2 linked regions of the Saccharomyces cerevisiae S288C genome follow. The gene in region 1 interacts genetically with each later gene. Each region holds a gene or a part of one and is shown in the gene's direction. Other genes may lie near its edges.

Region 1 (5,115 bases):
CAATTTCAAGTACCATGGGCAACTGCTTGCATTGCATTTAGTTTTGCCTTTTTTCTAATTGCAAAAGAAGAGTATTCCAAAACCACTTCTTTGATAAATCGTCCACGTCAGCCGGCGTTACTTGAAACTAAACGCATACTTTATGAAAAAGGGCCATCAACTTGTCTTTTTGTTAACATTCATTTTGAAAATATGAACTTTGGTATAATTGAAAATCTAGCATATCTATATTTTTTGAATATATTTAGGCGATAACTTAAAAAAGCATTGTTTCAGTTCTGAAGTTTGTTGCTTGTTTCTATTCTTTACTGGATGTCTGAAACCCCAAAAAAAAAAAAAAAAAAAGGACTCCACAAGTAGCGGCTGTAAGCGCGCTAAACTCCGACAGTGTATTATATATACGTAAACGATCCTGATAGAAAAATCCAATCCATTACCCCGGGATTATTTTATTACAGAGTAGGATTTTCTGGTGTTAAGTCTAGTGAGTTATCTTCTAACTATGAGCAGTCGTGTGTGCTACCATATTAATGGTCCCTTTTTCATAATCAAATTAATTGATCCAAAACATTTGAACTCTTTAACTTTCGAGGATTTTGTATACATTGCACTATTACTGCATAAGGCAAACGATATTGATTCTGTTTTGTTTACTGTTCTACAAAGCTCAGGCAAGTATTTCTCCTCGGGAGGTAAGTTTTCAGCAGTTAACAAGCTAAACGATGGAGACGTTACAAGCGAAGTGGAGAAAGTCTCAAAGCTGGTATCTGCTATAAGCTCTCCTAACATATTTGTGGCGAACGCATTTGCAATCCATAAAAAGGTTCTGGTGTGCTGTTTGAATGGACCGGCCATCGGACTTAGCGCATCGCTAGTTGCTCTTTGTGACATTGTTTACTCGCAAAACGATTCAGTATTTCTTCTTTTTCCCTTCAGCAATCTCGGTTTTGTCGCAGAAGTGGGAACTTCTGTTACCTTAACTCAAAAACTGGGTATAAATTCTGCAAACGAACATATGATTTTCAGCACACCAGTTCTATTTAAAGAATTGATAGGAACTATTATTACAAAAAATTATCAATTGACAAATACTGAAACATTCAATGAAAAAGTTCTTCAGGACATAAAGCAGAATTTAGAAGGGCTTTATCCGAAAAGTGTACTAGGTATGAAAGAATTGTTACACAGTGAAATGAAACAGAAGCTTATCAAAGCACAAGCAATGGAGACTAACGGAACCTTGCCTTTTTGGGCAAGCGGCGAGCCATTCAAAAGATTTAAACAGCTTCAAGAGGGAAACAGGCGCCACAAGTTATAATAATATAGCATTTAGAGATAGGATTTTAACATAAAAAATCTACTACACGATCATACTTCTGCAATTGTTAAATTCCGGGTTCTTTAATACTTTAATGTTGGCGCACAATATTTTATATCTGTTGTAAAATCCGCTTACAATATAAGTGAAATTGTTCCATTTTGTTTCATAGGAATTCTTACTCAAAAAGGATGTTTTTTAATATTCATATAATATTTACAAATAGCTCTCTGAAAAAAAGGATTTTTTTTTACACCTAATAAAACTGTCATTCATGTTAAGTAACTAAAGTGCTTCACAACTGTACTTAATGAACTGAATCAATTTCCTTGGCAATGCAAATTCTTCCAGACAAGAGGCGGCCGCGGCGGTATCTCTAGAAAATTTGGCAGCCGCACAAAAGGGTCCTACTGATGACGGGCTGGCAAACGGCGCTCTCCAAGGCACAAACTTTGTGACAAAATAGAATCCAGCGGCAGAGATCCGGATAAAAATGGGGGAGTGGACTTTCAAAAGCCGTACACCTCTTGTACTGAGGACAAATAATACAAGTTAAACTTGAATATTTAGATATGAGACAAAATGCTAACGCACATTCTCACTCCTAAATACTTAATTTCGAAGTCTGCGTTCCAAGATATGTAAGCCATCCATTCATACGGGATTGATGGAAAAGTCAGTAAATTTACAATACCCCTTTTATTCTGTTTGATGTGACAACTACTCGAAATCTGCGTAGTAATAAATATAACCAAAGGGAGTTCTAAAGAAGAAAAAAGGAACTCCCCAAAATAGGTCAACGATTACGAAAATTTTTATATGTTTGTTGGAAGTATTCGAGGAATGAAAAGAAAAATGGGTAGCAAACTGGGAATAACTGAAATAGAACCAAACGTCATCTTTTTAGAAAGAAAGGCATTCTTAGAATCATGATATGCCGTCCTTCGACCATATTGTGACCTAAGCTTTTTCTTCGACAATTGATACTGCATAATCGAAGGAGGATAAAAAAGTTGTTACGATAGTATTCCTTGAATGCACTTGGACTATATATACATGTTTATATTAGACGCATCTTTGACATTTTGCTTGCGCTAACCTTGCAGGTAAGGAGAGCAAAGGGAAAATGCATCGAAAAAAAAAAAATCGTGCTATTTTCGCTAATAACTATGCAAAATCAAGTGAAATGGTGTTTCTCGAAAAAGGTCACAAGCGCAACTTTATTTTCATGGTATATTCAGAATTTATTTTAATGATCGAAAAAAATTGGCCTAGCAAAGTAATCATTCAATAGTTTAAAGGCGGTTGCGGAGGATAGTGACAGAAAGAACTTCAGAAAAAGGTCCCTAGCCTAAAAGGAGCCATCACTATTAATGAACTCTATGAAGTTTCTGCTAAGAGAAAAGAATTTAGCCGATGTTTTGTTCAACTGCGACGCTTAGGGAAGAAAACATCGAAATATCGCAAGTTGTGTAACCCAGGCCACTCAAAGTCGAGTCTTTAAAAGTAGTGGTTTTATGCATATGTGCTGTTGTTGTTTTCCGAGAGGGATGCATATGAAATCTAGCCGAAAAGGCGATATCGTAGTATACAATGATTATGTATTTTTTTTGATTTTAATTTTTAGATAACCGACGATGGGGATAAAAGATATAAATCATAATGGTATCAAGCATCGTTGCTACTATGAAAAAAGACTTTATGTGATAAACATGCTTTATCTAATCAATTCACTTACTTCTTTACAAAATTCACTCATTCAACGATAGAATAAAATAGTCTCAAATTTGAGATTTTTTTTTTTAACTTCGGATGTTCTTCTTCGGGAAAGGAAGAAAGCAAGAAAAACAAGAAAAAAATAAGAGGAAACGGAGATAAAATTGCATGTCTGCACTATGACTGAACAAGAGCGGCTCACGTAATTTGCATTATAACGTAAAATGGATTTACCCAAGGACAAAAGTGACAGAACTCATCAAAGAATTAATCTAAATAACAGTGGGACAGATCGAACTAATGATTTGTACCTTCATATTGTCCAAACGTTCGGTTGCATAGAAACAACTGCAACGGAAAATGCCACGAAACTGTTAATGCTGGGTGACGTCGAAGTAGAAATATCTGCGAGCAGCGTTTCAATTGAGTGGACACAGAAGTCAATGATAAGCCAAACAATTGCCGATAGTATAGTAATAATGATCATCGGTTTGTGTGCAAGCGACAAGAACGTGCTATCTGAATCAGAATTGAAAGAGAGAAACCATAACGTTTGGAAGATCCAAGAATTGCAAAATCTGTTTCGAGAACAATTTGGAGACAGTTTTAGCATCGATGAAGGAATAGGAAAAAAAGAAAATGTAAAGAATGGTAGCGTCACCATAGGCAAGAGTAAAGCCACGATCGATTTCTCCACCATGAAGCTGATTGATTGTAATTCGAACCCACTAAAGGGAAGAGTGGAGAGCATACTAAGCATTGGCCAGAAATTAACAACTCCATTGTGCTGAACGTCATTACTTACCTTTTTATTTTCTTGTATGTGCTTTCATCTGAATTATTGGTGGATTATGTAACAAGTTGTTGAGTTTTCCCCATATAACTACTTCGCCAAGGAAATGGTAGGTGCGGGGGCGGAGAACGCAAACCAGCGTATCTATGGCTAAATAAGGAAGAAGCAACAACACTGTTGTAATTATGAGGCATACATAGACACAGATTCGTACATTATTTCCATAATACGTAGGAATATTACTCAAGGACAAGCGGATTTCAACCTTAAAAGGTGAGGAGTAGCTGCATGAGCATCGGTGACGGTGATTTCACCTTACTTTTTCGGAATACGAATGTACACAAGCGGCACAATAAAGTTTAACCAATCTTGTTTTACGTAGCTATTTTTATTACTCTTAGTTTTGTGTGTATCTGCAATGCTACGAAGCGCCTCCGTAAACACCAATAATCGGTGCTGGAGTACTCTTATCACAAAAAGCCCGAGCACGCACCATGTAATTTCCGAGATCTGTTACGCAAACAAAGGAAAGGCGGGAGTACCACAGCAGTGTCAAGGTCTATTGACGCACCCCGCAGGAAACGGCTTACGTAAGCTCCGTCATACAAAATGCGTAGAGACCATGCATTCTCCACACATCGTATTGAGCGAGTAGTGGGATGTGGTGGCTTCTTCTCGGTCCGAAAACTATATTTCTTCCGCGGAAAGACGCGCTGCTCCAAAGCGGCGACAAACCTCTTTTTTTTGCCCCTTCTTATGAATGCAGCAAATGAAGAGCGTCCTCGTCCGTAAGTGAGATGGCGTGGCGTGGATCTGCAGGCTGGTAACAGCCAAGCTAAAAGAACACCAGACAGACAATCAAGGAGGACGCGGCGAAAAAAATACTCACTGGGTTATGGGCGGTTATCTGCAGCAGAGTGGGGCAGTGGCCTAAAAAACATCAGGGGGTGAATCAACGTACGTCAAATCAACAGAAAACTACTGCTAAAAGAAACGAATACAACCCGAATCAACAGTTTTTCTCTATTTGTCGCAGTCTTTCCTCTCTAATTTTACTTTTTTTTTTTTTTTTTTTCTTTGATATCTTAGATTCCCTTCCCTCCCTATCTTTTTTTTTTTCTCGCAATCTGGGGAAAGCTTTTCTCATGCTTATACGTGATTTGTTATATAAGGGATTGCTATTTCAGGCATCATTCACCTCCTTTTGTATCCTTAGTTTCACTGCATTTGATATATATATATACGTATCTGTAGTTTCCTTCCATTACATAACGCATAATATACTATT
Region 2 (4,028 bases), on another chromosome or scaffold:
GTGGAGATCTCACCATGTAGTGTGGCGGATCCCTTTTGAAATCTCATGTTGTGACCACGACCGAGAACACTTCCGTCTTTGTTATTGATAAGACATCCGCCAATAGGAACACCACCCTCTTTGTAACCTAAGGCCGCCTCCTCATAGGCAATGTCCATACCCTTCTGATCCCACTTGCTTGCCATTCCCCCTGTCACCATTAGCTATGAAATTTTTAACTCTTTAAGCTGGCTCTCATCAACATAAAACAATGGCTTGTAGATCTCATTGTCGAATTGAAAATGAACTTTTTAATTTCGCAAAAAAAAAAAGAAAAGTTCAGGGTCTCCGGGTACTACCGCCCCTGCAAGGAATGACCGGTGATAATGGAAGAGAAGATATTACAGCGACAGTATAATTAACAAACACGTTGTGTCTTTAGGCTCGTAACTAACTGTACGTATATCTACACACCATAGGTCACTACTTGCAATATATTTGTTATGCTACACCATAAGTTCGTATACCCATTTTTATTCAAGTGGCACTTATCATGTGTAGAAAAGTGTCCCCCACAAATCACTTTTATAGCTAAGTATGCTACAGCGAACGATAAAAATGGCAATAGAAAACTTACGATAAGGGATGAACAATGGCCTGAGTTGGCAGATCCAACTCCCTATGATATTTTTGGCATTCCAAAGGCCGGATCTGGAAATCCTAAACTGGACAAGAAGTCGTTAAAAAAAAAATATCATCGTTATGTAAAATTGTACCACCCTGACCATTCCGATAACATTCAAATATTTAGCTCAGAAAAGGTTACCAACAGTGATAGTAAATCACCGCTGCTGCTAACATCAAGCGAAAAACTACATAGATTTAAAGTCATCTCTCAAGCATATGATATTCTTTGTGACCCAAAGAAAAAGATCGTATATGACACAACGAGGCAAGGCTGGACCACATCGTATTCACCACGTTCTAACGTTAATACTGAAAATTACCAATATGCCGGCTCTTATGGCTACCACTCTAACGCGCAGTATGAATACTGGAACGCTGGGACTTGGGAAGACGCAAATAGCATGAAAAACGAAAGAATTCAAGAAAACATCAACCCATGGACCGTTATTGGCATAATTTGTGGCCTAGCTATATGCATCGAAGGGACTGCGTTGTTAGCCAAAATCCAGGAGTCTCTGAGCAAGGCCGAATTTACTCATGACGAAAGTGGATTACATTTGATTCAGTCATACACGAATTATGGTCTTGATACTGACAAATTTTCCAGATTGAGGCGGTTCTTATGGTTTAGAACTTGGGGACTTTACAAGTCGAAAGAGGATTTAGATAGAGAAGCCAAGATCAATGAAGAAATGATACGCAAACTGAAAGCAGCTAAATGAAATCACCTATTGCGCCGCTCGCGGAATACAATTACTAAATTTTATATATATTCTTTAAAAATGCATCTATACATTCGTTTTTCCACGTATACCAAATTCGAAAAAAGTTGTTAAACCATCGTTTTCACGTTTTTTAATTTTTTTTTGGTTCTCTTTTTTTTTTTTTTTCAATATCAACTTTTTTTCAAACTTCGTGTTGCATTTCCTTTATCGTAAATTTTCAATGGATCTCTATAATCTTCGAAGTTCGAAGAAAAGAAGAAAAAAAGTATTGAAAAGTTGAAACATCGATTCCGTTTTGCTAACAAATAGCACTCAGCATCCTGCATAAAATTGGTATAAGATATGGATTTCACAAAACCAGAAACTGTTTTAAATCTACAAAATATTAGAGATGAATTAGTTAGAATGGAGGATTCGATCATCTTCAAATTTATTGAGAGGTCGCATTTCGCCACATGTCCTTCAGTTTATGAGGCAAACCATCCAGGTTTAGAAATTCCGAATTTTAAAGGATCTTTCTTGGATTGGGCTCTTTCAAATCTTGAAATTGCGCATTCTCGCATCAGAAGATTCGAATCACCTGATGAAACTCCCTTCTTTCCTGACAAGATTCAGAAATCATTCTTACCGAGCATTAACTACCCACAAATTTTGGCGCCTTATGCCCCAGAAGTTAATTACAATGATAAAATAAAAAAAGTTTATATTGAAAAGATTATACCATTAATTTCGAAAAGAGATGGTGATGATAAGAATAACTTCGGTTCTGTTGCCACTAGAGATATAGAATGTTTGCAAAGCTTGAGTAGGAGAATCCACTTTGGCAAGTTTGTTGCTGAAGCCAAGTTCCAATCGGATATCCCGCTATACACAAAGCTGATCAAAAGTAAAGATGTCGAGGGGATAATGAAGAATATCACCAATTCTGCCGTTGAAGAAAAGATTCTAGAAAGATTAACTAAGAAGGCTGAAGTCTATGGTGTGGACCCTACCAACGAGTCAGGTGAAAGAAGGATTACTCCAGAATATTTGGTAAAAATTTATAAGGAAATTGTTATACCTATCACTAAGGAAGTTGAGGTGGAATACTTGCTAAGAAGGTTGGAAGAGTAAGCATGAAGGCTATCACGGTAACAATTCCACATTGCCGAGTGATTACTACGCATATATAAACACACACACTCACCATATATATGTACGCATAGTAGCATCTATTGAATATAAGAAGATAGAGTTTCAAGTTATACATTATATTGTACTATTTTCTTAAACGATGGCTCATAAATTCTATAGGAATTATCAACCCAATAACCTCATCGCTAATTCAAAAGTAGCAAAAGTGGCACCATTGGCGGGAGCAGCTCTTAGCATGGTAGGACCAAACCCTTTGAAAAAAGCGCCTATCCCTCCATTGGCATATAAAGTCTTGGCTACACTGGAAATAGAATTACCAAATTTAGGCTTTTGTAAATTATCCGTTTGCATGACAGACTTGATGACATCTAATGGATATACCATCAACCATAAGGCAGTGCCAGACAATGCTCCAAAAATACAAAGTTTCCATGCAGGAATGTCCTTTCTCTCTAGTCCACGTCTTTTGTTCATTTGGTTAGCAATCAACGCTTCATACACTAAGAAATATGTGCCACATCCATGACCTTCTCTCAATATTGTAGGTGTTAAACCACGTAGCAAGGCCTTGTTATGTCTTAATTTTTTGATGCATTCCAAAGGACCCTTGAATTCTGCGTTGGTGCCTGAGCCAGTCTGTGTTTGCAAGCGAATCCTGACATGCTCAATTGGGGACGCCAAGAATGAGTTTACTATACCGCCTGTGACACCACATGCGTAATACTGTGGCAATGACAAAGTCGATGACATATCAGCATTGCGATGATGAAAAAATCTCTTCATAGCTTCATTAACACCAAATTGTAATGAAACACATGCACCAACACCAATTAATGGCGTCAGAGTTCCTTTGTAAAACCCGCGAGGCCCTTCATTGGCAAGCAGCTTTCTGACGACTTCCATGGCTGTTGTTGGGGTGCTCGATGTTTGTAACCTAACTTTTGTCGTATCAAAGGGCTGGCCCACTAGCACTTGCGCAATACCACCCGCTGTACCTGCAAGCAAATCTTTCACGACTCGAGCATTATCATGCTGTGGATGTTCTTCCAAATCATCGATTAGTTGAGGAGATGGAAATTCTTCAGACATACTTCTTCGTGATGCGAATTTGATTGACGAGAAACCTAAACAAGAGAGCTGCGTTGGAGTATAGATGATAGTTGTTATTAGCTTATTGACATTGATTGATGCTATAGCATGGCTACATCATCGCTGACAATTTGCGCTCGAGTTTTCTTAGGGCGCCGCTTATCTTCGGCCTATCAGTAAATGTAAGAATGAGTCAATCAAAGTAATAACACTTTTTACTTCCTGTAAAAAACTACATAAGAAATTTATTTACATTATTCTATCAAGTCTTTTTGACCATAGTTCACTGCTATAACAGACACTGTCAGCTCAGTTATCGTCATATTCTCCACCGCGGCTGGTATCTCAACATTCAATTCCGCCATCTCCTTCGGGAGTGTTATTTTATTCTCATGTGCTTCAACTGGCTTCTTT

Evidence for each region.
Region 2: mutations in SYC1 (region 1) and ARO7 together harm fitness more than expected from each alone (negative genetic interaction), as found in Saccharomyces cerevisiae (2 studies listed by BioGRID).

Annotation. Positions count from the first base shown.
Region 1 is NC_001147.6:670,555-675,669, reverse strand, and holds SYC1 (cleavage polyadenylation factor subunit SYC1), read left to right. Parts: upstream 1-3,258; coding exon 3,259-3,825; downstream 3,826-5,115. Other genes in the region: putative dodecenoyl-CoA isomerase DCI1, read left to right, coding at 503-1,318. UniProt on the Saccharomyces cerevisiae protein: Component of the cleavage and polyadenylation factor (CPF) complex, which plays a key role in polyadenylation-dependent pre-mRNA 3'-end formation and cooperates with cleavage factors including the CFIA complex and NAB4/CFIB.
Region 2 is NC_001148.4:673,337-677,364, reverse strand, and holds ARO7 (chorismate mutase ARO7), read left to right. Parts: upstream 1-1,733; coding exon 1,734-2,504; downstream 2,505-4,028. Other genes in the region: FCY1 (cytosine deaminase), read right to left, coding at 1-200; JID1 (Jid1p), read left to right, coding at 483-1,388; YMC1 (organic acid transporter), read right to left, coding at 2,691-3,614; BRR1 (Brr1p), read right to left, coding at 3,869-4,028. UniProt on the Saccharomyces cerevisiae protein: Catalyzes the Claisen rearrangement of chorismate to prephenate. Acts at the first branch point in the aromatic amino acid pathway where it steers biosynthesis towards phenylalanine and tyrosine, and away from tryptophan.